Linked DNA regions of Canis lupus familiaris. The protein of the gene in region 2 interacts with the protein of the main gene of each other region in a pairwise test. Links are inferred from orthologs where the notes say so. Each region holds a gene or a part of one and is shown on either strand. Other genes may lie near its edges. The genes, in order: DOK3 and ANKS1A.

Region 1 (4,350 bases), on a different chromosome or scaffold from region 2:
GCCACTAAGCTGCTTTCCCTATAGATTTGCCTATTCTGGGTGTTTCACATAAATAGAATCATACAAATATATGGTCTTTTGTGTATGGCTCCTTTTAATTAGCATGATGTTCTCCAGGTTCATTAATGGTATTAGCATGTATCAGTACCTCATTCTTTTTTTTTTTTTTTTTTTATGGTCAGGTAATATTCTTTTGTATGGATAGAATACATTTGGTGTACCATTCATCAGTTAATAGCACCTTTGAGTCATTGTGATTAATGCTGCTCTGAGCATTCTCATACAAGCTCTGTTTGAACACCTGTTTCAATTCTCTTGGGTATACACCTACCAGTGGAATTGCTGGGTCATACGGTAACTCTATGTTTAACTTTTTGAGGAACTAGGCTCATTTCCTTTTGGTCCATAATAGACTCTATGAAGCTTTATTTTTTTATTTTATTTTTCAAAGATTTTTATTTATTCATTCATGAGAGACACAGAGAGGCAGAGACACAGGCAGAGGGAGAAGCAGGCTCCACACAGGGAGCCCGACATAGGACTTGATCCCAGGACTCCAGGATCTCGCCCTGGGCCTAACTAAGGCAGCCGCTAAATCGCTGAGCCACCCAGGAATCCCTCTATGAAACTTTAAAGCTTTCAGTCCCTGGCTCCCAAAAACTTCCTCCAAAGGCTTCTCCTCTCAGAATATGACCCCAAACTCCAAATGTGGCCCAAAGTAGTTTCAGCTGGTTCCCACCAAACTCTCCAACTTTGCCTCCTCCTAGGCTCCCTCCCCACTCCTTACCCTCCAGGCATGGTGGCCTTTCCACCTCTTTGATATACCAAACTTTTCCCTGCTTCAGGGCCTTTGCCCTTGCTACTCCATCCGTTCAGGATATTCCTCAGGCCTCAGTGTCCGGATCACCCTTGCCTCAGATCTTTGCTTGGTGAGTTCTTATTTGTCCTTGAGGACTTGGGCTTACTGCCCCTTCCGAAGAGGCCTTCCCATCTAACAACCCACCATTCATTCCTGGTCCCACCAGCCTTTCATTTTCTCCACAGCATGAATGGCCATGTGAGATTCATTCTATGGATTTAGGGGGCTATTTCCTTAGGCTTGTGGGTCCTTGGCAGGTACTAGCTGAGTGCCAGGATGTGAGTGACCACGGAGATGAACAAGGTGGGGGTATCAGGTAGTCCACTTCTGGCCCCGGATGCCCTGCCCAACCGCCTTATGCTCACCTGGAAGGCCAGCTGGCAGATGGGGCCCATCCATTCCTGGCGATGCTGGGCAGCCAGTAAGTGGCTTCGCTCTGTGGTGGTGAGCAGGAAGGCACCAGTATCTTTGGGGCAGCTCTCACCATCAGCAGGCAGCACAGACACGCAGTCAGCCAGGCGGATGACCCGCCGTTCCCCACGCCGGCAGGGTCCTGCAGACCTGTCGCCTGCTGGCCCCAGGCCACCATCCCGGACATCCCAGCTCTCCAGCCGTGCCACACCTGATGGTCCTCCTGCATATAGCAGACCCCATACCTTCCGCCAGGACTTCTGTGGGAGGTGAAGATGGGGGAAAAGACCCTTGAGTGGCAGTTCTCCCTGTAGCTCAGCTCAGCACAAACTGCTCAGCAAATGTTCCTGGCCACTCAGGCTGGCCTCTGCTTCCCTCAGATCCTCAGGGCCATAGAGAAGGAGGCCTTGCCAAGGTCAGACCAGCAGGGGGAAGAGTCTGTGCTTGGGGCCAGGCAGCTGTGGGTTCAAATCCACCCCACCAATTGCCTTTGACCTCCAGGAGCACTAGTACCCCCATCTCAAAAAACTAAGAGTACACAAAGTTGGGGCTTCTACTGGGTTATGTCTCTGAAGTATCTAGTAGTTAAAGCAGACCACCTGATACTATCATTATGTTGGTGCCCCTACTCCCTTCCTCACCAAAGAACAGGTCCCTTTGGACCATGGGACAAGGACTGAGCCAGGAAGGAGGCCTCAGTCTCATGATGGCAAGGAAGGAAACATGCAAATAGCATAAAGCAAAGGAAATAGACTGTTTATCTCCCTGGGCAGCAGCTGCAGCTGAGCTATGAGGGTGCAGGGCCTCCTGCCTGGGGAGACGTAAACTCCCCAACTATGTCCCATAACAGGGCTATAGGGACTGAGCCCTCCTATGTGGGGTGGGGTCGGAGGGATCCTCCAACTAAGCCTCCAGCCTTCTCTACAGGGGCCTTGGTGCCTCTACAACATGGGGCGGAAGGCTATCAGGTCAGTCAGCTTCTCAGCTCAGCCCTGCCCCAAGGTTTGGATTCTTAGATCCTCCCCACTCTTGGCTTCCCCATCCTTGAACAGGGCTGGCTCTCATAAAGGCCCACTCAGCCCAACCCACTCAAGCTGAGAATGGGGCTCTGTTCTATTCCCCAGCACCTTGGTTGGGTCACCCACCCTGACTCCCTTCCCCATTCTCCCAGGTCTTGGTGGGCTGAGGCTGGGCCAGAGGCCTACCGCCCTGGGCAGCTGCTGGGCAGCCAGGGTCCCCACCTTGCCGAACTTGACGTGCTGCTGGTAGAGGATGCCGTCCTTGATGGGAGTCTCCAGAGGCTCCATGGCCGCTGCCAGGCCTCAGGACTGCCACTCTGAGGGCCTGAGGAGACTGGTGACAGGCCAGAGGGGAACTCCTCACACTTCCCCTTCTGGCCACTTCCCCCTCCCTCTGTTCAGAGAGGCAGCTGCAGGGCTGGGGGGAGGGGAGTCCGTCCTTCAGTAAAGGAGGTAGGATAGGGGGTGGGGACGTCACATATACCTTCCTCTGGGTCCTGGGGCCCCATATGCTCACGTGGGCCTGGCAGGGGCCTCAGACTACTGGAGAGCAGATGACCTAGGCCTGTACCTGGGTCAGCTGACTGTGAGTCATATGCTCTGACCTCTCTTCTGTGCAGGGCAGCTGTATACCCCAGCGCCTGATATTCCCACAGCCCCGTCCCTGCCCCAGGACCCCCCTCTAGCCAGACTGGCCAGTTCCTTGCTTTTTCTCTTGAGCCTCAGTCCCGCTCTGCTTATTTTAGAACTGTTTCTAATATTCACTTGGTCCCGTCTTTACATCCCTGTTCATTATTTCCCCTTTGAACCACTGTCCCACTGTGGTCCTTTCAACCGAGCCCAAACCAACCCATCTCTCCCCTTCCCAAGCCTTTCTCGACTGCCCCCCTGCGCTGGGGCATAGCCTGGGCTCCTCAGCGTGGCACCCAAGGTGCCCTGTTCCGGCCTCCAATTGCCTCAGCCCAGTGCCTCCAGGGAACCCCTTACCACTGTTCAACTTGATCGCTGGGCTGCCTCTAACCCTGGGAGGCCCCACTTTCTCACTTTTGCTGAGCACAAGGGCCCAATCAGTGAACTCCGGTCCTCGCAGCATGGCCCGGTCATGTATGGGTGGCATGCCCCCAGTGGGTCCTGGAGAGCTCACATACTCTTTTTAAACTTTGCTTGTTGCCAGGCATCTTTTTTTGCCTCACCTTGCTAGAGGCTACTATTGGGGCTATGAGTCTGAATTCTGGGGACAGCCTCATGTCATTCAATGTCGCTTTTACAAAAGCATGGGTAACCAGGCTGAGTAATACCATTTAGGGTCACATGTGGGGTGTCAGCAGGAAATCTTTTCCAAGGGCCTGCCCACCTGGCTTTGTGTCCATTGCAGCCTGAGCAGCCTTGAGCTCCAGCATTAGGACACCCTGTCCTTTGCATTCTCATTGCATTTCAATGATGAGGAAATCGAGGCTCAGAAACATTAAGTAACTTGCCTAAGGCCAAACACAAAGTGACAAACTGTGACTTGAGCAATGGCTGTCCTACTGGGATACAGCATGTGCTGCTAGTGGCTCTTCCTCTGCCTGTCCCTCGCCAGATGCTGACATCCTACTCCATTTGCCAGGAGTCTCCTGCTGCCACCCCCAATTATTCCTATCTCCTGTCTCTCCCACTTACCTAGGAGCTTCCCAACAGGTGTTTGCCTGGATTGCTTGGATCCTGAGCCCAGCAGGGAGCTGGACACAGAGTGAGGTCACCGAGTGCTAGTGGCCTGAATAGCAGTCCTGTGGCATCTGCTGGCCTCTCAGCAAGGGGAATAGAGAATTCTCTACTGGCAGTCTGTGGGCTGTGGGCAGTGTGCACTGGCAAATGGGCAGGGGGGCTGAGGCAGGAAGTCGCCTCCCAAGGGGCCCCAGGAGCTTCATACAACAGACAGGAAGGGGGAGGCTGGGGCAAGGTTGGAGATTATAAGAGCCAACCAGAGACCAGAAAACCCAACCATTTCCCCTTGGCCCACCAATGCAGTCTCTCCTTTAGTCACAAATACAGCTAGCCCAGAGGTCATACCCAGAGTTC
Region 2 (2,818 bases):
TTGCTCCCGGTTCCTGCCTCTGAGCTGATCTGCCCTTAGGGGCGACTGTGGCTTCTTCAAAAGCCTCAGCTCCACCATCCCAGCTGGGCAGCCCGTACGGCCTCCCCTCTCAGGGGACGCAGGGGGCCGAGGGTGGCCAACCGGGGAAGGAGTGGGTGGTGGCTGCCTAGCTCTGACCCCACACCGTGGACAGGTGTCAGCCCCCAGAGGGCAATGGGCTCCCTGTCCTCGAGCGGCTCCGTTCTGGGAGGGAAGAAGGCAGACCGTGTGTGCTGGGACAGGCCTCCCTCTGGCCGGGGCCTACGGAAGGGCCTGCCCCTTGGCGAGCTGGGCCCCGGAGCCAGCCTCCTCGTGACTCGCTGGCGAAGACCTGAGGGGCCGACCGCACACCTGCCGTCCCATTCCTCGGAGCGGAAGGCCCAGCGGGACAGGAGCCCTGCTGAGGGAAGCCAGCCCGCGGGGTCCAGATGCGCAGAGCTCCAGGCTGTGGAGTCAGGCATGTGCCCGAGGCCCTTGGGCCCCTCACAGAACGCAGTCGGACCCCAGTCAGGCCACACCGCTGAGCTCGGGCTCTCCTGTGGGGAGGCCAGCACCATACAGCAGAGGACAGAGGGACAGGGCCGCAGGCCAGCGTGAGCAGAGTGCAAGGGGTTCTGGCACCAGTGGTCACAGTGGTTGGTTGTGTCAGGAAAGGTGCAAAAAGACAGTTTTCTCTGGGCAGCGGCAGCCAGCCACGGCTCGGCACAGAAGACGGGAGAGGGGAGCACACAGGCCCGCCTGCTCAGAGGGAGTGGTCACTGGCGCTGTCTGGATGCTGCTTGAAGACTGCCCACCCCTCAGGACTCACAGCACCTTCCCGCTGAGGCCTCCTGGGCACACCAGGGCACCCTCAGCCCTCGGGGCGCCCACTTCTGGGGCAACTCACCCCCCTCCCCGCCAAGCTGTTCTTGCCCAGGGGGGACTTCACAGTGTCCGGTGGTGTTGGGTACAAGCTGTGAGTGGAGAGTGTCTAGAGCTGCCGCCCGGGAGGAGAGCAGGTCCCCCCAGGACTGCGGCCTTGGTGTCAGCAGCCGGAAGGAGAGCTGAGAAGAGTAGAGGTCGGATGGCAAGGCACAGTGAGACTAGTGGAGACAGGGAGCGAGCAGTTAGAAGATAGTGGTCTCATACTTGGTGCTGAGGCTCCGCTTAGAGTCTGGCTTAGGGTCCACAACCCAGGAGACGCTGGCATGGGACTGGGTGTCCGGGTCCAGGTCGGGCGGTTCCAGCTGCCAAGAAGGAGGGCAAGGGGTCAGAGAGGGAGCGCCGGGCTGGGCCGGGCCGGGCCAGGGTGGGCCAGGGCCCAGCTGTCCCTTCCTCCTGCCGGGGCCATGCTGATGTCATGCCAGCACAGGGCACATGAGGGGCAGCCTCCGTTCTCCTTGAAGAGCAAGCTCCCTAGGGCTGGGGTGGCAGGAGTGGCACCCTCCCGGAGCTTCACAGGAGGGCTACCTCTAGGCCTCTCAGGGGCAACTTCTCAGAGCTGCTCAGGTAAAGAGCCTCATGCTCTGAGCCCCAGACCTATTCATGGAGGCAGGAAAACACCAAGCCTCCGGTTTCCTGGGCCAGGCTGAGGGCGCACCCCGGGTAGGCCTGTGCAGTGAGGACACACAGACAGACAGCTGAAGCAGATGCAGGGACAGCAGGAGGGCAGCTCAGGGAAGAGAGGCACTAGCATCTCAGGAAGCTCACAGTCACTTCGGGGAGACTGACACACAGACAGCAGGAGGTGTAAAGACCTTGACTCCGGGACTAACAGACGGCAGCGGTAGGTAGGAAGGACGATGGGTGGTGCAGGTGTGACAGTGACAACAGCGACTATCGGGGGGCAGCGGCACCTGGGGTGCAGAGCAAAGCAGACACAGACACGGGGTGGTGTTACCAGGGGTGCCCGGCGAGGGAGGGGATGGAAGCCCGTGGGGGACAGTGGGGGCTCATGGGGGAGGTGCTGGCTGCTGCGTGAGAAGCCCCTCCTGGTGCCCGCTCCACCCCAAGCCCCCAGAGCCCGCTGGGGTGGGGGGTAGGGGTCTGGGCCCACGTACTGCTGACTTCCTCGTGCCAACCCGAGGCTTAGGCACCGGCTTGGAAGATTTTGTTTCAATCGTCTCGGCAGCGGAGGCCCCTAGCGGCCGGGACTTTTGGGCCTGCAGGGCCAGCTGGTAGGCCACCTCAAACGCCTGCCCCAGCGTCAGGATGATCTCGTAGGTCAGGTTCTGGGAGGAGACAGAGCCCAGCTTCAGCACCAAGGTCGAGGAGCCACCAGACGGACCCCTTTGCCCAGACCCCCAGCCCAGCCTCACGGCCCTGAGCACAGGCTGGTGGTGGTGGTCAGGGGCGCGGGGGGTTGCTGACCGGAGCAGCTATGGACTTCTCAACCAGCAGATGTGAACAGAGCAGGGCCGGTGTTTTTATTAGGTTCCTGTTCTAATGTGCCACTGACGAAGTTTCTGAGTGTTGTGCCCCCAGCCCTGTCTCCCCACAAACCCTGCTTTTTACTAGGTGAGCTGTAGCCTTTGATCTTCAGGAGCGTGTGTACTGTGTTACAGCAGAAATGACTGGGAAATGTGAGCTCTGGGTAAAAGTGGCAGGAACTACAAGTATGGGTAGAGGACCCCCTTTACCTTCAGAACAAACCCCATGAAATTGCTCACATTATAGCCCCTTTTCAGACGCAGAGCCCAATTCTAAGACCACACAGCTAGCAAGTGGCAGAGCCAGGTGTCTGATGCCAGGCTGGAGCAAGCATGGACTTCCTGGGGCTGAGAATGCCTGGCCAGCTGTG

Evidence for each region.
Region 1: the proteins of ANKS1A (region 2) and DOK3 interact in a two-hybrid assay, tested with the Homo sapiens proteins (2 studies listed by BioGRID and IntAct). The link is inferred for Canis lupus familiaris from reciprocal best matches to the Homo sapiens genes ANKS1A and DOK3.

The regions. Positions count from the first base shown.
Region 1 is NC_049225.1:36,747,312-36,751,661, reverse strand, and holds the start of DOK3 (docking protein 3), read right to left. Parts: upstream 2,874-4,350; 5' UTR 2,578-2,873; coding exon 2,512-2,577; intron 1,531-2,511; coding exon 1,225-1,530; intron 1-1,224. UniProt on the Homo sapiens protein: DOK proteins are enzymatically inert adaptor or scaffolding proteins. They provide a docking platform for the assembly of multimolecular signaling complexes. DOK3 is a negative regulator of JNK signaling in B-cells through interaction with INPP5D/SHIP1.
Region 2 is NC_049233.1:4,445,979-4,448,796, reverse strand, and holds the end of ANKS1A (ankyrin repeat and SAM domain-containing protein 1A), read right to left. Parts: intron 2,250-2,818; coding exon 2,079-2,249; intron 1,875-2,078; coding exon 1,776-1,874; intron 1,266-1,775; coding exon 1,146-1,265; 3' UTR 659-1,145; downstream 1-658. UniProt on the Homo sapiens protein: Regulator of different signaling pathways. Regulates EPHA8 receptor tyrosine kinase signaling to control cell migration and neurite retraction.